4 linked regions of the Schizosaccharomyces pombe genome follow. Changing the gene in region 4 together with the main gene of any one other region gives a genetic interaction. Each region holds a gene or a part of one and is shown on either strand. Other genes may lie near its edges.

Region 1 (5,915 bases), on a different chromosome or scaffold from region 4:
TGAATTTTGAAGAAATTGAATATGGAAAGTCTCATGAGAAATTAGATTTACCTTATAGAACTACTGATTTTATTCCCTATTCTAAAGACTTGTCAACTAGTCCTGAGGCTCACAGGACTAGTATTTATTCGTATAGTGCTAATTTGCCCAATTATTATAATGAGCATAATGAATTACATGAACATCATAATCCCCAGACACCCAGTTCCCCGGAATCTGCGTATAGTCCTGAAAATTTGCAACTTAATCATGAAGCACAAAATGTTGAATATTTGGGTAACAATGCTGCCGAGAAATCGTTGCAAATGAACTTAGAGGATGAACAAAGATTTCAACAATTTTTGAAAGATGAAGAAAGTATAATGTCAAACTGGTATCCAGGGCAATTTCCTTCAGCTTCTCGCTTATTTTTGGGTCATCTAAATACAAAGAGCTTATCTAAACGAAATTTGTGGAAAGTTTTTAAAATTTATGGGCCTTTAGCACAGATAGTTTTAAAAGCAAATTATGGTTTCGTTCAGTTTTTTACAAACGAAGATTGTGCTAGGGCTTTAAATGCGGAACAAGGCAATTTTGTTCGGGGTCAAAAGCTGCATTTGGAAATTTCTAAAATTCAGAAGAAATATCAAAATCAAATAGAAAACATGAAGAAAGGATCACATGTTACCAAAAGTAATCAATATTCTGAAATGATTGGAAACCTTCCTTATCCCACTAGTAGCAGGTAAGGAATTATCGTTGCTGCAATTAATTTCGCAAAACATCGCAATTTTGTTTGTTTTTTTAGCCTTGCTAACGTAATACAGAAAACGCACGCGATCTCCTTTAATGTCGAAGGGTAAATCCTACGATAGAAAGGGATCTATATCCATGTCTAAAAACTTCAGCCCTGATTGTGAAATACTAGTCACGGAAGACTGTCCAAAGGAATTTGTATGGGGAGTGGAAAAAGTCTTTCAGGAGCGTCGATTGAATATACATACCACTTGTTTGTACCGTGACTCAAACTTACAAGTCATTATTAAAAGCTGTATTATTAACAGCGTTAAATCCATTATCTTGATAAACGCCGGTTTGGCTCACCTAGGGAAGGTGTCGGTTCAAGTGTTTAAAGACGGATCTAGCGATTCAGAAGTCCGTTGTGATGGTACGTTGAATAAAGATATATGTGTTTTGACAGAACTCTAACTTTGTCTTTATAGAATATGCTGCTGTGGACGTGATGGTTGCTGCAAGTATTGTTCACCACGCAAAGACTTCTCTCATGCACTCAGCTGCTTCTAGTACGCCATCGTATAATGGTGAGCGTATTGTGCCTGACGTGCCATCTCCCTGTATATCAACGAATCCTAATCTACCAGCTTTAGTAGGTTCTTTAGATTCTGTTAATCTTCACCATTTATTAGGATTCATTCAAAATACCTATAGCACTACTTCATACATTCCAACTAGAGTTAGTTTTAATCCTAATGATACCGGAGGATCATTTGGAACAATTACATCTCAGTCCCAATTTGTTGTGAATGAGATGCCTAAAAATTATGCTCGTGATAATTACGAAGCATTGCATTCTCAAGAAAGCCGCCAAAGGTCTTCAGTTGCTGGAAACAAGCAACTTCAAAAGATATTAGAGCAGCTCGCAGAGCTCAAGCAACCTGATTTTTGATATCTGACCTTAGAAAAGGTTTATATATATTATTTGTTAACAAGTGTTTTAGGTAGCACTTTGTTAATATGGTTTTGCGATATATATGTCCTTGTCTTCAATATTTATTTCACTTTTTTCTCAGTTATTCTTGAAGCATTTATATGTAAAAACCAACAGACAAGTAATTTTTCTTGCTGCACGGACTATCAACTGTTCATTTGTATTTTTTTCGATGCATACAAAAAATGGTAATAAATCGTTAGGAAGAAAGTTTCGATACTTGATTTTTACTGATTAAGAGATTTAGCGAGTAAAAATTAATAACAACGACATATTTTTATTATTAATTTGATGATCATGAATGTCAAATGTCCTTTTAATATTTTACTACTTAGGTAAACGTGCAGTTTAATTGATCTGATAACAGCGATGCACTGCTACGCAACGCCGACTAGTACGTTGTAAGCTTAGTAAGTAAGTAAGTAGTAACTTTTATATTATAATCTTTTCATTACTAGTAATACAAGTGCCTCCCAATCTGAAGTTGCAATTAAGGAACTTTATTTAAAGTATATTATCAGGTTAATTTTTTTAATTAGAAATAACAACCGCTGGTCGGTCTGAATATCAAGGTGCTTTTAAAGGATTCTCTAAAATAGGAAGTTTTGAAGGATCCTCGTTTTATTTTGTGCCTCCACTTCAAATACGGAGGCAACTACAATTGCTTGAAAGGAAATTATCAAGTTATCAATACTTCTAATAATGTCTTCCTCTCCTCCAGCTTTAAAGAAATTTCGAAAACGCAGCCCAAAATCATGTTTAATTTGTAGGCGCCGCAAGGTCAAATGCGACCGTCAGCAGCCTTGCTCTCGATGTAAAGAAAGGAACGAGGTTTGCACTTACGCAGATGATACCATTGATAAAATGAACGTCGGACCACATCCTAGTCATAGCGAAAATGCTTCTGATTCTGAAACCACACTGGAAGTTTCTCCCGATATTAATCCGAAAAAAAATGAGAAATTTGATTTTTATGGATGGAGATCACTCTTTGAGTTGATTAAATATAGAAAGGATAGCGACATGTGCTCATCTCGACCTTCGTTTTCAATTCAGGCTTACAGTAGCTATAAAGATAATGTGGTTGTTGAGAGTTTGGCGAACCTTTTACCGCCATTTTGCATATCACAGAAAATTGTTAATTTATTTTTTAAAACACTAAATGTTGTCTGTCCTATTTATGATCAAGAGACAGTAGAAAAAAGCTTAAACAACATTGAATCACCAGAATCTTTTTCGTACGAAGATGCCTTCACTTTATTACCAATTATTGCTGCAACTATCCAGCTGAGCGATTTGCCTGATGTTATTCTCAATTTTTATAATTCGGCGGGGATTACTCCATTGGAATCCAGCCGTCTTATAAATTTAAAACTTAACGAGATATCCGAGCAGGAATATAAACATTTATGCTTGCCTGATAAAGAAATAATTCAGATGCTGCTTTTGCGAGCGTATGCAACAAAATTTCGCACAAGAATAAGAGGAGTGAATACTGACTTATGTAGAAGCATTCACGTATCAACCTTAGTAACTCCCCTCTTCCAAGTTACGGAAAAAATAGGAAAAAATACGTCAGATTTGTGGTTTGCTCTCTGTGAAATTGATGGTTTGGAATGTGTATTAAAGTACCGTCCGCCATTCATTCAACACGACACTTATGGTCGTCTCAAGCCGCTTCGTTGTTTTTTTAATGACGATATTAGCTACAATTTTCATCTACTTCTTGGAAGGTTACTTGATTGTGGTGTTTCAATCTATAAATCTGTTCATTCACTCACCGTTAGTAAATTCATTGATAAACTGGAGAGTTATGAATCACAGCTTTCGCTTATTTTGGTAGATATAGAAGCAAAGTTTTATGACCCTTCTAATGAAGATATTCAATTTCGATACATATTTTTGAAAATGGTGTTCTGGACTGCACGTGTGAATTTGTATCAATGTTTTATTACCCTGGATTCAGGGATTTTAGAAGATGAAGAAACTATTATTGGTAATTTGGGTGAAAGTTGTATTCAGTGCGTGAGGCTACTCATATCTCAAATCACTATATTAGAAAAACGAGGCTGGCTTTTGGTAGCGTTGTTGGAGATTATCCACGCCCTCATGTTGGCTGCGTTTTGCCGTGATAAAGGCTTTGAGGTGCCTTCTGACTTAGGTGACATAACATTATATGTACAAGAAAGAATGGTTGATATCGTAACATTTGATGATGGCATGGCTGTCCGATTTGGATATGTTTTAAGATTCATCAACAGTATGTTACACCCAAATGAACCGCCTATGCAAGATGCAGAACCTGAAACCACGGAGGATCCCTCTAAATTATTCGCTGACATTTTTGATTTTACTTCAAATTACTTTATACCGTCCGCCCTTCTTGATCAGTGACCTAAACGAGCACTTTGTAATTTTTTTGTTTGTATGATTGATTAAATTTCGATTAATGTTCCAAAGTGGTTCTAATGTCAAATTTATCTGCTCTTTTAATGACTCTCGTTTTTTAATGTAACTATTTTTGGTTCAATATAGACCATTTAGGAATTAACTTTCTTACTATCCTTCTATAAAGTTGTCTTTCAAATACAATTTTTTCAACAAAACTGCCTTTTCCAAACAGAATATGTTTAACTAAAATATGTGATTTCAAGTAATTAAAAAACGTTTAAAAAGTTTAGTGATATAAAACTCTCGCTAGTACTTTCAAATGAAAATGCATTACGCTGCGCAATGGTTCTATACAGGTTATGGTTGGTAAATTGGATGAATAGATTTTGCAACAATTATCAATTACATGTGTATAACCAAAATATTCTGCCTATTTAGACTGTGTAGTTCAGACTTGGTTAGATTTGGTAATTAGGGAATAATACGCATTTCCAAATTTGTAACATTACTATACCTATTACCTTTGACACTCAGTTACCTGTTCAAAACAACCGCCCCTTTTTCTGTTGCATAGAGAATGAGTTCTTCGTATGTACTGAAGTATAATACTTTTTAAAAAAATAACTAATATGAATAGAAATCCACGGGGAATTCCACCCGCTCAATTTTTTGAGTTCAAAGAGTTATCTATGGAGGAAGCTCAAGGTCATCTCGAAAAGTTCCAAGAAGCAATTGCGTAAGGATATATATGTTATTTCATATTAATATAATGTAATTTAGAAAGTACAAATTCATGGAGACTAGTGTGGTCAGGAGAGTTGCTAGTTTGGATGACAAAATTCCTGACATTCGAAAAACGTTACAGAGTGTTCAGTTCTTGAAAGAGCGACAAGGTGACTCTTTTACTGTTACATATGAACTAAATGACACATTAAATGCAAAAGCAGAAGTAGAAGCTAAAGACAATGTCTACCTTTGGTTAGGTGCAAATGTTATGCTTGAGTATACGGTTGAAGAGGCAGAAGCATTGTTAACGCAGAAGCTGAACTCAGCGGAAGAAACATTGAAAGCATGTAAAGAAGATTTGGAATTTTTGAGAGCTCAAGTCACTACAATGGAAGTGAATACAGCTCGCGTGTATAACTATACAGTTTTGCTTAGGAAAAAAACAAAAATGTAGTTAGTCAAAGCTGCTTAATTTCTTTATAAATGTTTCCAAAATATATTATCATTTTAACACATTTGCTTATCCTTAATGTCTCTTTAGTGTGTGTAACAAATGATAGAAAAAACTATATTATTATAACAATATTCTTATTTTAGAAACGTATAACCAACATTTGTATAAAAACGCTTTACAGAATAAAAAAGGATTACATTAATGCTCCGTTCTGGATTTTCGTGCAAACAAGCAATAAACTAAATGAATAAAACAAGCCTTCTCACACACATTTCAAACCAAATTTAAAATTATGTCAAACGATTTAAATCACAACAAATAAGGAAAATGAAATTCTAAATGTGTTCCTTTCACAACAGTTGACAGTGTAAGAAGCTGGATAAAAGAGTTCTTTATTAACGGAAATGATAAAAAAACGACAAATACCTATACATCACACTGGAAGATACCCGGCCTAATCGCTGTTAAGAGTTTCGAAAAGGAAGTGGAGACCAAAAGCGGTATTAATACCAAAATAGCTTCCTTCAAAATTAGTGATACAAATTAATTTTACAAATTGTAAAGAATGACTCAATGGATGTCAGATTAACAGTTAAAAAACACAATGAACAACATCATTCCAATACCACTATGAAT
Region 2 (5,669 bases), on a different chromosome or scaffold from region 4:
TGAAATTGTGGTGATGCATCGTAAATTTCAACGTTTTTTCAATATCTCACAAAGTTTTTTTCTCTTGTTGAAAAAAATCTGAATTTGAAATCGTAAAAGTACTTTTCAGGTTAAGCTTCACCATTAATTTACCTTCAGCTCTTTTTTGTTGAACAACGAGTAATAATGTGTTAAGTTTTCTATATAAATGACGGGAGATCGATTGCAAAAATATGACTAAATGTCATAAAGTCTTTGGTTCACTAAAAAGGCTACAATTATTTTTACTAAGGCATGATTCATCAATGCATAAGAAATGATTATTTATACGTATTTTGCACCTGAAAAAAAAACCTAGTAAATTGAGGGAACATTAGTAGCTATAGTAAAAAGAGTAGAAAATCAAATGTAAAGCGAATATATGTATAAACTGAATCATATAGAGTATACCAACACTTAGACTCAATAGGATCTTAAATGCTGAATGACTTTTCTAAAGAATGAAAGAAGGGGAATAGTATAATTTTCGAATGAAGCAATGCGACTGATAAAAGAAACTCCTCACAAATTAGGATATTAACTGAAGAATATGAGTTGAAGAGACAAAGCGAGCAAACAGTGAAAGACGATAATTCCGAACAATAAAAGTTTGCACAAATTTGATCCGGCTTGCTGACAGATAGGATATAAATTTCTAGTTAAAAACACAATGGAAATTAACAAACCAATCCCTGTAAGTACATATTTGACAATATGGGAGGCCAAAGTAGATAGCAATCCAAACGGAGGAGTTGCTAAAGAAACGGGAAGCCAAACAATGTTAGCATATCCATATAAACACAGACAGTCGAGTAACTTAGGGTTGCATTTGTTCCACACTAGGATACCCCATAACAAAACGGCGATAATGGTAGTGTAACCATAAATAATTGATGCTGCAGAGATCAACTTTTTTATAGAATAGCCACTTGTACCATGCCCTGTGGCATAACGAGCGTATTCGGTAATTGAGTTGGAAAAGAATAGAGCCTGTATAACCGTAGTGGTTATCCAAAAAGGACCGTATAAATCGGGACGATCATCTACAACATCAAAGAAATTTACAGTGGGAATAAGAGTATGTATACATCGTTGAACCACATCTTTAGTTTCCACGTTAAATGAATCTTTGATGGTCCATGGCGTCTCTTGCATGGATGCGCGACGAGATTGTAATCTAGGGGCCGGAGGCTTTGTAATGGGAGTTCTCTGCTTATAAAGGTCTTCAGCCTCAAATGTTGTACGACCTAGGTCAGCTTCCGAGTCAATTTCAATCTCATGTGCCATAGTGGTGGTTGGATACTTGTAATGGCTTAGGGTGAACAAAGAAGTTTACTTATTGGAGGCGCTAATTGCATACAGATTTGGTATTGTGAATAAATTTAAATGCATGAAATGTTATTTAATTAAAGAAACTAATTCAGAAAAATAAGATGAAGCTTCTAATTTTGAGATTTGCTGCTTTTTCCAAATCTTAGTCTAGGTTAATTTGATCGTGAAATTTAGAGTACAGCATTGATTTCAACTCTTGAATGCGGGTTTCGTCTTTTTCCATGGAAGATCTTAATACGTCGACTTGCTTTTCCAAACTTTCTTCTGACTGCTCAAGCTGGTCAAGGAGTACAGGAAGGGAAACTTGGAAAAAGGCATCGCCAACCTTTAAAGCTGGAATATCGTCTCCATCATCCTCGTCTAGTAATTCACATTCATTTTTAGCGTCAACAATATCCTCTATTTGCGTTTTTAAATTCTTAATATCAAGTTCTTGAATGGCCTTTCGAGAATGCAACACTGAAAATTCATTTAAATTCCTTTGATCTTCTGCTAGAACAGGAACTTGTTCCATATTTGTTGCTAAGGTGTGTTAGGAGGAATAGTATATAACCCGGTTTCGTTTGTCTTAACAAACAATTGTTGGTGTAGAGATCAATGCGGTCAAGTAGAGGTTTAAGTGGAACAGTTGAATGATATGTCAAAACAGAAGGATTATTAATTAGTATAGTATTTTATCTACAAATTTAAAGAACAAAAGCTATTTTCTACAATTGAGGTCTTCAGATCCGTAATGTTTTTGCTGTCAAATAACAGGTCAAAATTTTACTATAGATTCACAGGGTATTATAAACTAAAACCAGAGAATACGGATTAAATTGACTTTTAATTTAGTTTTAATCATGGGGAATAATATTTAATAAGACAAAGTCTTAGCAAGCATACCCGTTTATAACAGGTTATCTTTAGGATTTTTCGGCATCGTCAACTGCTTTTATTATAGGCTGAGTTAGCGGAGAAAGGACTTGATGAATATATAGCAACCAAAGAGAGAGATACTTGGGATCCTCTTTGTCTATCTGAAGCATTTCGAAATAATCACGCGTACGACATGGATGGATATACCATGCTATGCCTACTGTACCTGGACAGTCCCCAATAGCAAGAGCGTCATATGCTAAATTTTGACTGGATCCTTCTAATAACTCAAAAATCTGTTCCATCTTGGTAAGAGGATCTGATCCGTTTGCATAAGGTTGAAAGAAGAACTGCGGGACTTCGAAGGATGGAGAATCCCTAATCCAGGCGTGCATAGTGATCATTGGATTCATAAGGCTTAAAATATCATCTTCTTCCTGCTCGTATAATAAGGAATCATTTTTATCAAGTAGCTCAGTATGCCATTCTAACTTCAAAATACACTCATCAAACTCAATCAACTCACAAGAAATACCACCTTTCGACAGCTTCTGAGCAAGGATAAGTAATTGAGACTTAAAGCTCATTATTGTCACGGTTAGCCAATTTAATCACTTTATCTTTGCTAAAGCAATAAGTAATTGAAGAAGGAATTATTGTCCCATAAGCCTGGCTACAGTCTGATTGTTCAACGCACTATTCCAATGAGGGCAATAGAGGCAATCACCTGTCAATATATTTGAAGTTAAGTCTCGACAAAAATGGTGTTTCAGTTATTTACAAGTATATTAATTCTACATCTTGCTTCTAAAGTTGACAATAAGAGTATGACAAAACAGTACGTTGGAGTTTACAAAGTTATCCAACAATATAGTGGTACACTGTGTAGTTACTACGTTTTCAACATTTCTTCTCAGCAAATGTAGGATTTCTTAAAAAAATAATTTTTTCGACTAGAAATTGGCGGTAATCAAGAGAAGCTAATGTATAAAAACAATATGTTTGGACTTGGAAAAAAATGAAAAACTAAGGTTTTATATTAGTAATTTCCTCTTAATACTTATACGAGCAAAAGCAAAAGCAAAAGCACTGTTCCAATGGTGCTTATAAAGCCAACTGATCTGTGAAGTAAAATTGAGATATGTGTGTAAAGCTGTTAGCAACATCAATGTCACCATTATATATTGTTAATGGGCATTACGACTTTAATCATATCTGATATGCACATATAAAAGAAATTCTCTTTTAAGGGCATGGAACGTCCTCTCAATTAGTAATTCGGAGACATTCATGTCGTTAATGTGGTTTACCGCACAGTGATTCGACTTTCTTATTGACGGCTGCCAAACACTTTACTTACATATATGTTGTTGTACAGCTTCTTACATCAACGCTAAAATATATATACATTTCCAATTTGAAACATCGTAAGGCGTTGGATCGTTCTTATCAGCGTCTAAAAAAGTAAAGAATTTGTCAAGGTCTATTATTTAATTGCTGTTTTCTTTAGATGCATGCATTATCATCAGGAAATTGATCCGTCTTTATGGTTGATGATTCTCTAAAGGATGCTATAGCAGGAGGAGCTGCTGGATTGGCCTCTTCTCTTGTAGTGGCACCTTTAGATGTAGTAAAAACAAGAAAGCAGGCACAAAAGGCTTTTTATTCAACTGGTGGTGGAAAAAATACAATGGTTTTGGGTGGGACCCTCAGTTCGATGCGAACAATTTTTCACAATGAAGGCATCGCCGGTCTTTATAGAGGTGTTGGACCCATGATGTTAGGTTATCTTCCTAGTTGGTCCATTTATTTTGTAGTCTATGAAAAATGCAAAGTGCTATTTGGGGTAAATAAAAAATACACTTCTCTCCACGAAATTGATTCGTCCAAGGTTGGCATCAAGGCTTCCTTAGATAGTTCTGACAAACAATTTTATCGTTACTGGGGTGGTCAAATCTTTTCTGCGGTTATCGCCGGTGCTGCAAGTGTCACTCTTACTAACCCCATTTGGGTTGTAAAAACAAGGTTAGTCACTCAATCACATCCTAGGGCTTCTTCTTTTGTAGATAAAATTGCTGCGGCTACAACCGTCCAGTTTCGTAATCTTCAAACGGACGCACCATCCGTCAAATGGAGAATGCCTCGCTTTTGGCTCAAGCGTAGGACGAATGTCAAATCTTCTCCATCACAGCATCCAGTGAATCCTCCCACAGGCCCTGCATGTTCACCTGCATACAACAACACATTTGACGCATTTCGAAAAATTTATAAATACGAAGGCCTTGCAGCATTTTACCGAGGTCTTTTCCCCTCTTTATTTGGTACATTGCATGTTGGCATCCAATTTCCACTGTACGAATATTTTAAATCATTTTTGGATGATTTTTTTGGTAAAAAAAGCAACTTTCATATAGTGTTAGCAGCTACTTTGTCTAAAATCGCAGCTTCTACCGTCACTTATCCTCATGAAGTTTTGAGAACTCGGTTGCAGAGTTTGGATGCACCTACACACAACTCGGCTACCTTACTTATTCGAGACATATGGCGTTCAGAGGGTTGGAGAAAATATTACTCTGGCATGGCAACAAATTTTATACGCACCATACCTGCCAGTTCGGTTACCTTCCTCAGTTTCGAAATTGTTCGCAAATGGCTGAACTAATTTATCCGTTGTGTATATACTCAAGAAAACGATCAAAGTCTTTATTTTTTTAACGACAATCCAAGGTTAATCAGTTTCCTTGAGATGTGTGCATGATTTCTAATATTAATTATTACTGTCTCACAGCTGTTAGGTTTTCCTAATTCTTATTCTTACCCCCTCTCATCAATATTTATTTAATAATTACCTTTTATTAAGCATTTGTTTCTTGTGTTACCAGCCCAGCCCTATTTTGAGACTGGATGAAACCCATTCTAGTTTATTTTACTTTAATACGAGTAGCCCCTGTTCGTGGTCATAAGCATGAACGTATCAAGCTTTGAGCTTTATTAGTGTTTTTTTGGTCAGAAATTTCCAATTATTCCCATTCCTATTATACTGAGCAAATTTATAATATTTTAGTGTTCGCCAAATTGAACTAAACTACCTAAAATAAAATTAAATTTTTTTTATATAATTAAAGAAACAGAATATCAGTTTTATTCTATTAGAACGAACTAGGCGCTTCAAATTGATATTGTGCATTTTTTGGAGACCATGCTTTACTTGGTGGTTCCAGTCAAAAAATTTCAAATTTAGACAACAACACATTAATGGCGAAATCACAAAGATCTCAAATAAAAAACGAAGATATATCATTTGTCTCTCAAGAAGATGATTCCTCTAAAAAATTTGTAAAAGATGATAGCGAAAACTCTGAGGAAGAGTTGGAAGACTTGAACAGCGAAGACGAATTTTATCAATCCAATAGTTCTGAAGATGAAATTGAAGAAGAAGTTCAAGAAAGTACCATTGCTGA
Region 3 (6,129 bases), on a different chromosome or scaffold from region 4:
ATGGTTCCAAAAATAAAAAGTTCTTGTTCGCTTGAATAGTTTGATTAATTGTTTCGAGATGGAAAGGATCTAAAATCCTTTTATGATTGTAAATGTCAAAATGAAATACGTAGGCGAACATTCGCAACATTTATGACAAGCATCAATATTTATGGGGATCGCCACCTGACGCAGACAAGACGTAGCAACGGTGCGCATTAAGAGATTCAAATTTGAATGGATAATAATATCATAATAATCACCAACTCCTTCTACTAAAGTGGTGAAAGAAGCAACTTTCCAATATTTCTAGATTTTCCAGCGTTTGCAATCGGGATCGAACCGCCCTTGTATTTATATTGCTTTATACAGTTTTATAATACTTTTCAGATACTACCTCTACCCTTGTATTATACTATAGAATTTGTTAGGACACTTATTTACTAAACTTTTCCTAAGATTATATTTGTAAATAATAAGAAGAGAACACTAAAAAACTTCGCAAACAAATAAAAATGGTTCGTACCATTATAAATAAATATAGTCATTTTTCAAAATTTAGCTGCCATGAGGTTAGTAACTTAATAGTAGTTGCTGACCGCAAATGTTTCTCCAGTAAAGTAGGTCCAATGTACAAGTACGTTTAAAAGCGTCATTGAGATTTTCTAAGGAATAAGAATTTAATTCATTTCCCTTTAAAACAGGAAATAAAACCAAAGGACCGCTTGGAGTCATGCATATTGAGGAATAACAATCTAATTCGATAATCTTGTGAACTACATTTCCACTAAATACAGTGAATGAAGCCAGGATGGTTTTTCTTAGATGTAGATTAGTAATAATTTTTCTTCAAAATTTCATCCATAACTGACCATATACCGTGTTTCTTGAGTTATTTGTTTACAAGCCATAGAGGTTATTGGGTTATTTCGGGGCTAGTGAAAGTATAGAGATGATCCTTTAAATTAGCCCTTTCATTAATAGCTTCGCGATAATCATAATTTCAATAGTTGCAACACTCTAATAAACTTTTAAGATCTTTTTTCGTTGCTTCCGTACCTTCATTTCTAATATTTTCTCAATTACACCCTCCCATTATTTTCCTGCTAGTTATTTAGCCATTTTAAAAAAAAAAAAAAAAAAAAAAAACATAATACACAAGATGAAAATGGTTTACTAGCTAGTCTACTTCCCATGATATTGGTCTTTTATCTTAGTCTTTGGAGTCTTTATCGAGTCATATATTACTAATTTTTCCATATATTATCCACTTTCTTTACAAACCCGAAATTGCACGGATAGTATAATTTATTAAACTTGATTTTTCTAACTTTGAGCCCTGAATTGTTGTACTGACAGGATGTTCCAATTACAGTATCGATGAAATATATTTAAATAAAAAGTTTGAAAAATATAAATACTAATATATTGGCACTCTTAAATAATTTTTTTTACATTTTATTCGTAAAAAAAAAATAAGTACTTTATTTATTATTATTAATTTTATTTCTTCGGTTAGTATTTTTTTTTTTAGCATTTCATTTCATATTCTGTTTTTATTTCCCTTCTCTTTTTAATACACTCTCATCGATTAAATAGGCGCCATTCCAAATATTAGTTATTAGAGTCACATTCTCTAATTGTTTATTTATTTTGATTTCTTTATTTGCTTAGTAAACAAACTTTGGCGGATGCTAATATTTACTTCACCCTCCATCGCAAAAGGGGTTCATATCCTTACCGACAACAAAACTACAAGATATAATACCAGGTGTAAAAATAGCTGTTTCTTTGCCATGTTTGTTGTTTAGAGAATATAATCATGAGCTATGAGAAACACAGTGATGCTAAGGCATCCCGCTACGCGTGGAATCAGCCATGGAATCCATTTGAGGTGACTTTGTCTGATCCAACGTATCCCATGAATTTGGAAGAAAAGAACCAAATTCCTTATAGATTTCAATCCGTTCCTGATGATGTTCCGGAAGTACCGCATATTGAAAGCCGATATAAGAATTTACCAGGAAACAATATCTATTTATGTTGTGGTCGATTGCAAATGTCATCTCAGTACAAAGCTTTCCTCATTAGCTTGTTTGCCTTGATTCTTCCAGGAGTCCTTTTCTTCATCTTTTCTGCTTTTTGGCTCTGGCATCATGTCTCTCCCGCTGTCCCTATTACCTTTGCTTACCTGTATGCCTTAGCCGTTGTTTCCATGTTCAAGTGCTCGACTGCTGATCCAGGAATTCTTCCTAGAAATGCATATTCTTTAACTTATAACCCTGCCCATCCCTGGTCTGTAATTCCTGAAGACCGTAAAGTCCTTGTTGGATCCACTCGGTCTGACTCTGTCTTTGTTAATACAGTTTATTGCCATACGTGCCACTTATATCGTCCTCCACGTGCAAGCCATTGTCATTTATGTGATAATTGTGTTGAATACCTTGATCATCACTGCATTTGGTTAAACACTTGCATTGGTCGTCGAAACTACAGATATTATTTTATTTTTTTGTTATCTGTCGTTCTTTCAGCTTTGTATCTAACTGGATTGGGGTTCTATACTTCTATAGGAAGTTTTCATGAATCCACAGATACAAATTTTGCGGCGCATCTTCGTCGTCCATGGGCTGGCGTATCTTTCTTCCTTGGCATTTATGGGGCACTTGGAGCAATACTTCCTGGCATCCTTTTCTGTTACCAGTGCTATTTAATATCTGTTGGTCAGAATGTTCATGAATACTTACGAGCAAAGAGTACAGAAACTGAAGATGTACATCCTTTTCATGACAGCATATGGCTCAATTTTCTGGTTGTCCTTTGTCGTCCTAAAAATGTGAGTTACGTTCGTCCCACTAGGAAGTCTTACGTGTAATATGCCTTGGCTTCACAAAGAAAATAAGAAATAAAAATTTTTTATTTGCTAGACAATAATGCTCAAATCGCTCACGCATATATGCTACACTCTTTCATCTTCCCCTTACCAATTTACTTTTCAGTACCGAAATTAATTTGGTTTTAATAACCGGAATAAAAAAGATTACTCCCCTCTTCAAAATTTTTACCTGGATAATGTTTTGTTCTTTTTTTTCATCCTTGTCGTCGACCCCTTCAGCTCGCCCTTTGTACTTTACAGAGAACAATGTACAGAAACAAATGTTTATAAAACTATTCCTTGTTCTCACCAATCTCTGGAATTATTAATATTTAATTTGGCTGCTCTCTTTTATTTTTAAAGTAATGCTGCTTGTTTTTATGACTTATATGATAGATAGATGGTTTTACCTCCTTTAGCTAAACCCCTTTCCAGTCTAATTTATTGGGATTTGCTCTTTATTGTTCTTTTTTATTATTATGATTGCCTTTTAGGCAAATCAATGTTCCATAGGTAGATAGTTTTTCTTTTTTTAATGAAATAGCTTATCCACATTTAGAGGATAGTTTTCTGGAAAATAATTTGGTATTAGACTTCTTTAATTTGATACTTGAAACTTCTATAATATTAGAACTAGCTTTGCATTACTGACCGGCTTGTTCATTCTTACTCTGGTTCATGTTGCTCCGTTCCCAGGCTTGTGTTTTCCATTCACCCTCTACAACCATTCGGAAAGCTGGTTACTGTAGTTAGGCTATAAAACTAATGACAAACGGCTCTTAAACCTAATGTCTTCTTTACACGAGCATTTACGCCCCATTCCTGAGCCTTTTTCTTTAACTTTGCTACTGGGAACAAGAGAAACACCTGTCACATTTCTGTTCCATTATTATTTATACCATGCGTTGAAAGCAAAGGAAAGTACTTGTTTTTTAACATTCAGTAAAACCTTAGATGAGCATGCAATTAGTATGCGTAAATGGGTATGTAAAAAGAGGGATTACGATTGCATAAGTGGTTGAATGATAAACTATTCGTATGACTAACCTACTGAACCAATATTAGGGAATGGATATTAAAACGAAAAAAAATTTCTTCTTTATCGATGGCTTCAGCATGCTATTTGCTCCTATTTCCAAGCCTTCGAAGGTACAAGCACCAGAAACCAAAAATCACATCAAATCTGTTTTCGCGCCTGTGATCCAATGTGTGGAGGAAAACGATTTTGAATTTGAAAACTCCACGATCATCATAGAAGATATTGATATTTTACAAAGTACTCATGCTCTCGATTCCACAAAGATTCAGCAGGCAATTTTGGAATTACGAAAATGTTTCAGTAGAGTCATTGTAAACGTGACTTTGGGAGCTCCGTTACCACAACAAAAGTCTTTAGGCTCTTCAATCGGACACATGGCAACTAGATGTATTTCCTGTCGGCCTTTGACTAGCGGTAGCGCTCGACGAATCACCGGATTCCTGCGTCTTTCTCGAATGCCAAATCACTTTCGTAGTGGAATATGCGAGACCCCGGAGGATGATGACAAGGAGCTTTTATACGAGGTAACGGAAGCAGGTGCTAAGGTATATTCCAAAGGGCAGGTGACGCTGCAACTCTAAATTCCTACTTCATCTACTTTTTCTCAATTATCTGCTGCTGCAGTCTCTTCGTCTCCCTTCTTTTCCACTTGTACATTATCTTGCACCCACCGTTTTACTAAAAATGTTCGTTGAGGCCTGGATTCATCTCCTTCTTCATTATCCTCATCATCTTCATTAGAATATGTATCTACAACAACAGGAACCCATTCTCTGCTCCAATGCACTGCTGTTTTTTCATTTTGTTGAGGTTCCACACTTTCTGAAGTCCTATTCATTGTATATTTGTAGAGTTGCGAGTATCACAAGGTGCGCGCGAATTGGTATAGGTGTAGGTTTACAAGGAAGAACAAGACGCTCTCTGCACAGTGTGCATTGATTTGTGAATTTGGAATTAACGAACTAGGTTTGGTTATTTTTTTATTTAAAATAGTGCTTTTTTAATTTAAAAAAAATTGATCGAGCCAGTTTGGTATTCATTGAAGGTTGTAGGGTAAATCGTTGTCATACAAATTTTTTATCGCATTTTTTGGAATAACTACTGGGTTGGGTAATATTTTGAAACATCTTTCATACATATAGAAGACCGTGCTACGAAATTGTTAGGAGATATGAGTGGTATATCAAAATTAAGTGATTTTTGGGTTGAAAAATATAAAAAGGAGTCGAAAAAGTCTTGGGATAAGTTTTACAAGCGAAATGAAACAAGGTTTTTCAAAGATAGACACTGGCTTGATCGTGAATTCGATTGTTATTTTGGATTGCCCGATAAGTTGCCATTGACTATCCTTGAAGTCGGATGCGGTGTTGGAAACCTCGTCTATCCTCTGCTAGAAGTGCAACCAAATTTGAAGATATACTGCTGTGATTTTAGTCCTCGTGCTATAGATTTTGTGAAGGTAAGGAGAGCTACTAAATTTATGCCAATTTGCTCTGAAATATTTAATTTACTAACCTTTGTCTTAATTTAGAAGCATTCCTGTTATAACGAAAATAGAGTTTTTCCTTTTGTTAATGATATAACCGAAGATTCTTTGCTTGAAGTTTTGGGTTCTGCTTGCATTGATACATTAACTGCCATCTTTGTATTATCTGCCATTCCACGCGAGAAGCAGCTTCGTTCTATTAAGAACTTGGCTTCAGTCATAAAGCCAGGAGGGCATTTGGTGTTTCGTGATTACTGTGATGGCGATTTTGCTCAAGAGAAATTCATGACAAGCGGTGACCCATCTATGATTGATGAACAGACGTTCGTTAGACAGGATGGAACTTTATCACTTTTTTTTCGAGAAGAAGATATTGCTGAATGGATGAAAAGCGCCGGGTTTGGCTTAGTAACATTAGATCGAGTTAATCGCACCGTTGACAACCGAAAGCGTAACTTAAATATGAAGCGTACGTTTTTACAAGGAGTTTGGAAAAAGCTGTGAATACTTTGGTAGAAAAAGTTTCTTTGTTTGCGTATTTTTTATTCTTTTATATAGGGCTTTTAATGTAATCCGTTTTAGACATGAGTCCTGAGTTTTATTGTAAGGTTTATGACAGTAACTTTAGTTTTTTGATAATTTAATTAATAAAAATAGAAAATCTTTGTTTTCTTAAACTACACTCGCATATGCTATTTAATTGTTATCAACGAGTGACTAGTATAACTTTACTTACTACCCACCTTCAGC
Region 4 (6,921 bases):
CCCTACTTGAAAGTACTAGTTCCAAAAAATGTTAAAGAAATGCTTGAATATTGTAGAAAAAATGTAATCTATTTGTCAAGTTTAAGCTAAGAAATTGTCGATGAAAAGCGACTTCCAAGGTTTGATTAGACGAAATGCCAAAGACGTTAGTTGGATTATTTTTTTGAACGATCATAAAACTTTAGAGCATGACTTGCTTGGTTGCCAGCCAAAAATTACTTCTTAGAAAGAGGATTTAAGCTTCTAAGGAAATAGTGAAGGAGTTCAAATCTCGTATTCACCGAGATGTTTAAAGAAATCGTTAATCATATATCAGAAAGAGCAGCGAATGGACGATGGGAATTAAACTTAAGAGAAACGAAATTATTCCAAGGCTCTTGATCCAATCTCGTTAAAAGGTAAGATGAAGCGCTTGGAAATCACAGTCGTTATACTTCATTTCCTAAGAGATATTAAGCGTTACCTATGACAGACAGATCTGTGTAGGGTTGTTTGCTTCAAGACAATTCGAAAACTTTGACTTTGTAAAAAGGACAAATTGAAGCCGGACGAAGTAATTGCTGCACTTATTCTTTATATTATTTTTTTTATCAACGTCTATAATGGAACTCTGTGATTGCTGAGAATGAGATGTGGTTGAAATAAGTTGTTTCTCATGAAGGCATTATTTTCACATTAATCTCTTATTTATCGGAGATTGACTTACAAGACGCAGGAAAAAATTGGATACCTTTTATACAATTTCGAATTATATCCAAATTAGGCTAATGCGACAAACCGGTAAAATCATTTGACGGTTCTTTATTCCTTTTAAAAAAATGAACAACGCCCTTTTCCTTCCTTTTTCTTTTATGAGGAATGAGTGTATCCAAACCTAAAAATATCTTTAGACTTACAAAATCCTGCTTCTGTTATTCTTATATTTACTATGCATATTAAGTTCCACTTTCTGTTCTCTCCAGCATTTTAAAATAAAGCTTTGGACATAGGCCTTAACTCTGGCAACGCATTACGATAAGTTTGGAAATTCTTTTGTAGAGAGAAGCACTGATCTCAACGAAGCAACAGTATTATAGGTGAAGGAGAAAAAAGAAGCAGGGTCACTATGCTTCTTTTGTAGGTGTTTTATTAGGGGAACTTATTATGTAGAAACCTCCGTACTGCATTGTACTTCCATTGCAGTTTTCAGCCACCTCTTGTACACTGTGGGGAAGGAAGTTTCTCTTAACGTAGGTTGTCCCAAAATGGAAGAAAAATTATACTAACAGTTAAAACAACAAGGAAATTTGTGAAAATTTCTGTTTTTAAAGGAAATTCAGTGTAGAAAACGTGTAATGTGCTTTTTCACTCTCACCAACTAAATGTGGTTATCTTCCTTGGGTTAATTTAAGATTACTATTAACGAGTTATCTACAACCAATGGTCGTTTTGAGAAATAACATAAGCTTCGCTAATTTTAATTTTATCCAATCAAAAGGATAAGTTTTAAAGTTGCATTTAAACGACTCTATTGAAGAAGCATCATCTCCCTGATTCTTTGTTTACCCATAAATTGCTAAGTTTCTTTGTTCTCTGTACCTCCTGACTACAGGTATGGTGAATCTACAGACTCCATAATTCTCTGATTTATCCAAAACCAAATTTAATAAATAATTTTTTAACACTCGTTTTCAAGAAAAAAACCGAATTCTCTCTCTTTATTTTTTTTTTACACTAGTCAAGCTATCGAACTACAGGACCGTTTACTCAAATTAAGGCGTCGCAGCGCTTGAGTCAAAAGTGAGTTTTCATTTTGAAATGCTAAATGTAAATTAATTGTTCGCTAGCGTCCCTATCCACCAAAGTCAAATAGACATTGCTGCACCTTTGTGCTTTCTTTCCGCAGTTTTTTATACATGGGAAATAGTAACTCAAAAAGTGTTAAAAACGACAAAGAAAATTTTGAGGATCCAAATGCCACCAATTTTGAAAGTGTTTCTCAGTTCAAAATTCGAAATGTTATTGGGAAAGGAAGCTGGAGTACAGTGTTCGTCGTGAAACATCGTCAAACTAAGCAAAGGTTTGCTCTTAAATGCATCAATAAAAAGAAACACGACGAGCATAAGATCAAGAAGCTAAGAAATGAGGTTCTATTATTACAATCATTGAACCATCCTCTACTATGCAAGTTTTACTCTGAGTTTGAGGATGAAACGAAAATTTACTTAGTAACTGATTTAATGCTTGGTGGAGATCTCCGATACCATATTTCCCAAAGAAAATTCAATGAATCGGTCATTCGTATTTGGATGGTAGAACTAGTATCTGCCTTGATTTATATACATTCAAAGGGGGTGCTTCATCGCGATGTAAAGCCAGATAATATTTTGTTGGATGAGAAGGGACATTGCAAGTTGGCTGACTTTAATGTTGCAGCTAAAGTGCATACCTCATCTTCTCCTTCTAAATCAAACATGACTGTTGGTCGCGTTGGGACCCCTGTATATATGGCTCCTGAGACATTAATTCACGCTGTTTCTTATAAAGAATCAGACTGGTGGTCCTTAGGTATAACATTTTACGAATGCCTTTTTCAAGTGCGACCTTTTCCCAATCATCTTTTGATCAATTGGATTCGAGCTTCAGAGGAAGAAAAGGCTTCATCAGCAGATCGTTTATCTTCTGCTCTTCATATTTCTCGGGATAAAAAGCTAACTACTATCTCGAAAGATGCTCGTTCAGCTGTTATGGCTTTTCTAGAAATGGACATTAAGAAGAGGTTGGGTCACTCCAGCAAGAAACTTCAAACACATCCATTTTTTTGCTCTATCTCTTTGGAGACCGTTTCCAAGGGCAACCTGACTCCTATTTTCCGTCCGAAATCTGGAAAAGTATATGTTGACCCAATTTTAGATTTGGAGGCTACTTTTTAAACTAATGATTCAATGTTTACAAAACTAATTAATATATATGATTATTCAAAGATTCTCTCAGCTACGATTTGTCTTTCGGTTCATGTGTTACATAGTATTGCTATTTTTTTACTATTTTTTTTTGCTTGCCTGATAGTCTCGTCTCTTATTTTCCCTGGAAAAATTTTGACTGCGTTTCCACTTAAACTATTTCAAACTTCATTATTTATAACTTTGAATTTCTGAACTATTCTAATCGAGCGATACGAAATTACACGAATTAATTAATATGACATTTATATCACCAAACACCTGTTATCCGTAGTTTTCTGCAAGTAATAATCCAAACAAAGGGAATTCTTTAATAAAATGTACACTAAACTCCTAACAGACATTAAACTTTTGTTTTTTATATCCACGCATATAAATGTTATATCAGCATCCATAATACACTTTTTCGATATCCAATCTACCGACTACGGGTTCAGCAACACTTTCTAGAAATGCTGTAACAATGGTAACCTTTGGGAAAATATAAGCCAGCGCTTTAATACTTTCAGAGTAACAAACATAGACCACAATTATAATGTTTTCCTCTGGGACCCCGAAATCCACTAAAATTTGCGTGGCCATTAAGACATCTGCATGTGTAGTTAAATGTGAAGCCATCAAAACAACATTCATGGTAGCAATGCCACGGGGCAATTTATGGTAATGTAAAGTTGGTTCTTGAGTAACTTTATTGATTTGCACCAAAATCTTACCCAAACACACTGTTGGAAATTGACGACATAAAGCTGTTTCAAGAGTTCCGCCGGATCGCAAAACTGAAACACCACAAAGCTCTTTTGCCATTTGTAGACCTTCCCACTGGTTTCCGTTATGCAAAGTAATCGTTTTCTTTTCATATGCAAGCGAATCACCTGCCAAATTCATCAACATGGTGCCAATTCTGCTCAAAAAAAATTGTAAATCATCAGGGTGTGTATTTTTGTTTATAAGAATAGTCCTGATGGCAGATATTTCAGGCGTAATTTTAAGCTGAACTAAATTTAAGGGTAAATGGGGAATGGTTGGTACAATTTGCTGTAAACTATCAATGTTCTTAACATGAGTTTCACTTTGTATAGAAAGTGTTCTACGAATAAAATTAATCACCATATCAATTGCCAATTTATTGTCCCGGCCACGAGGAACGATAAGATCAGTGTAAGATAGTTGACGCCTAACGAAGTTCTCATAACTTGGCTTGACAAATTTATTATATTGTTCCAAAACGCCAACTATGTCCCTTCCTCGATAGTTGATATCGCGATTCAGTCGACGAGAGAGACACACGTCCGAATCTGTATCTAGAAAGACCGAGACGTCAAGGAGAGAGCGAATCTTTTCATCGTATAAAGCAAAAATCCCTTCGAGAATAATGATACTTGCTCCGAATAACGTGTTGGTCTCAGGAAGCCGATTATGCTCATTGAAGCTATATATAGGAATGTCAACTTTACGGCCTTGTTTAAGTTCTAGCAGTTTTACGAAGAGCAAGTCCCAATCAATGGCTTCGGGGGAATCAAAGTCATAGTCGTTGTTAAATGCTCTCTTCTTCTGCTCTGCATTCAAAGATTTGTAAAACGAGTCAAGGGATAAAATAACAACATGTGGAAGATTTAACGCCTTTACAATCAATTGGGCCACCGAGGTTTTCCCACTACCCGATGGTCCTGCAATTCCAATAAATCGCACTTTACGCCATGGGGGTTCATAAGTTGGGTTGCTTGAATAACGCTCAAAAGCTTCAGGCATAATAACGAAAGAAATAAAATAAATAAGAAGCCCAAAAAAAAGGTATGCTAGCCTCCAAGGAAATATTACTAAAGAAAGTTTAAAAAAAAAAAAACTGTAGAGCAAAAAAAGACTAATTGGTGAACCTAACGTTTTTTAAAAGGTAAATTCTGTCTTGGCGTGAAACGAAAATATTCCACAATTTGTAGAGCCAAAGATATTTATTCAAACAGAATTAATTCAAGTAGAATGATAATGGTTTCCTTATCTTACTCTTCTCAAACTTGCTTAGTTTTTTCTATAAATCACAAATCTCGAGTTAGCAATACCATTAGAAAAATATATATATGTATACGAACCCAAAGGAAGGAAAAATGTTAGGAAATTTTAACATAAATAGAAAGATTTTCGAAATGTCTTTTTAAATAACTAGTAAACTAGTTGAAACAATAAATTGGAGAAGGGTAAATCCAATATCATTGTTTTTTCATCCTTTGGTAACATTATCACTGTGACTTTTTCAGTCAGCGCCTGAGCCGCGGTAATCATCGGGAATAAAGAAAGAGCAGTTTGTTTGTAGAACGGAAGTGAGAAGTTTTTTTGCAATACCTATTACTAAATTAATGAATTATATGTAGATTTAAAAGAAATCCGGCAATTAATATTCGAAATTAATCAATTTTGACTATGTGAAAATTGTAACATTCGTGACATGTTGGAAGCTTGTACCAAAATTTGATATTTAATTTAACTTTAAAAATGTATTTAATAAAAATAGGCGACAATAAGGAAATTTAACATATTGGCTCAAATTCAAAAACGCAAGAGAAATCTTGCTTTGTTTATATAAATAACTAAATCAACACGACTAATACTTAATACGCATTTCTTAGAAAAACAGATTCAAATTATTTTTTACCTTCCAAAAATGATGAAATAAAAAGAACAGCTAGGTTGAGATCGTCTCAAAGTTCAATAAATGATTTTGCCGCTCGAAGATTTAGATTGTAGCTTTGCCATTTTTTTTAAACCTAAGAGAACTGACAAAAAGGAATATGAAAGTTTCTTTTGTGCAGAAGAACCAAGTAAATGGACATAAGTTTATGGCAGGTTTTATGATATTGAGAACTCGTCGCTTTTGTTCGTAATAGGCAATTAATTTCAAATTAGAAAATAGTATAAAGGATATTCAGTTTGACCCATCAAGTAGAGTAATCCGCTATTAATGGTGTGAAAAAGTAGAAAAATTTGAAAAAAGCGTACATTTTCGAATAGAAACCCATTTACATGCTTACTTAGCACACGCAAAATCCTTAAATTTCTCTTCCCTATATCGAGAGAAGTGAAAATATAGAATAGTGAATGCATCAAACGCAAAGATTTGAAGCCGGTGCAATGTTAAACATATTTGACGGCTAATCGTCACAAAAAAATGACATTGATGACCTCGAATTGCGCAAATTTTGACTTCATATTTAAAACTCGAAACTCATGAATATTAAGCCTAGATAATTTGTTCGCATAATTTCTTCTCAATCCCACAAATTAATTATCCATGTATCGATAGCAATGGAATCAATTGATTTATTAAATTAAAGTAGATATCTTCCCCTCCTCATTTGATTAGAAAAAAATCCTTGAATTTCACATCACATTTACTCGAAAAGTTTTATCATAAACTTGCTGTAGAATTGAAACTGTAACTGCAATTTAAACCAAATAAAACGCTTTTTAAAATAAACAAAAGAGTACCACATGACTAAATTCCTCATCTTCCTTTTACCAACGTTTGTTGTAATATATTACCCATGCCTTTAGTAATGATAAATTGCACTTATTGAGCTAGAAAATAGTGAATTGAAATAAATCTAATATTTTAACAAACGATATCACGCTATAGCCGTTTTATAATATTTGCCATCTTTTGTTCGTTTCACATTGACACACCTCCATCCTCTCTTTCCTTTCACCTATCTTGGCGAACGAATTCTTAACCTGCTAATTTATTCACTTCAGGAGTAGGAATTGACAAGTGAGAAAAATTAATAATTAAATATTTTTTTTAATATCGTTCTTTTACATTATTGATCCATTGTTTTTGTTAGTCATAATTGGGAATTGACTAGCTTTTTATTGGATTCCTCTTCATGTTCATATTTTACTCAATTAATCATTTCAAAGGTTAATTTACAAGCGTTTTGCTTGTATTCGTTTCTTCTTCATTTTCTTTCTAAACAGTTCCCCAAAGAAC

Evidence for each region.
Region 1: mutations in urk1 (region 4) and pfd3 together harm fitness less than expected from each alone (positive genetic interaction), as found in Schizosaccharomyces pombe (2 studies listed by BioGRID).
Region 2: mutations in urk1 (region 4) and pfd4 together harm fitness less than expected from each alone (positive genetic interaction), as found in Schizosaccharomyces pombe (2 studies listed by BioGRID).
Region 3: mutations in urk1 (region 4) and elp6 together harm fitness less than expected from each alone (positive genetic interaction), as found in Schizosaccharomyces pombe (2 studies listed by BioGRID).

The regions. Positions count from the first base shown.
Region 1 is NC_003424.3:600,247-606,161, reverse strand, and holds pfd3 (prefoldin subunit Pfd3), read left to right. Parts: upstream 1-4,643; 5' UTR 4,644-4,676; coding exon 4,677-4,687; exon of another isoform or gene 4,688-4,736; coding exon 4,737-4,835; intron 4,836-4,879; coding exon 4,880-5,279; 3' UTR 5,280-5,336; downstream 5,337-5,915. Other genes in the region: poly(A)-binding protein Nab3, read left to right, coding at 1-724, 807-1,147, 1,203-1,666; SPOM_SPAC3H8.08C (transcription factor), read left to right, coding at 2,411-4,102.
Region 2 is NC_003424.3:502,179-507,847, reverse strand, and holds pfd4 (prefoldin subunit 4), read right to left. Parts: upstream 1,940-5,669; 5' UTR 1,865-1,939; coding exon 1,493-1,864; downstream 1-1,492. Other genes in the region: yip5 (Rab GTPase-binding protein), read right to left, coding at 556-1,305; atg10 (autophagy C terminal domain family protein), read right to left, coding at 2,256-2,795; yea6 (NAD+ transporter), read left to right, coding at 3,755-4,870; rRNA processing protein Rrp15, read left to right, coding at 5,464-5,669.
Region 3 is NC_003423.3:1,863,122-1,869,250, reverse strand, and holds elp6 (elongator complex subunit Elp6), read left to right. Parts: upstream 1-3,567; 5' UTR 3,568-3,642; coding exon 3,643-3,837; intron 3,838-3,919; coding exon 3,920-4,474; downstream 4,475-6,129. Other genes in the region: palmitoyltransferase Erf2, read left to right, coding at 1,802-2,854; protein tam8, read right to left, coding at 4,498-4,731; trm141 (actin binding methyltransferase), read left to right, coding at 5,065-5,352, 5,425-5,883. UniProt on the Schizosaccharomyces pombe protein: Component of the elongator complex which is required for multiple tRNA modifications, including mcm5U (5-methoxycarbonylmethyl uridine), mcm5s2U (5-methoxycarbonylmethyl-2-thiouridine), and ncm5U (5-carbamoylmethyl uridine).
Region 4 is NC_003421.2:1,554,215-1,561,135, reverse strand, and holds urk1 (uridine kinase/uracil phosphoribosyltransferase), read right to left. Parts: upstream 5,138-6,921; 5' UTR 5,030-5,137; intron 4,969-5,029; 5' UTR 4,692-4,968; coding exon 3,327-4,691; 3' UTR 3,223-3,326; downstream 1-3,222. Other genes in the region: serine/threonine protein kinase Ppk33, read left to right, coding at 1,896-2,912.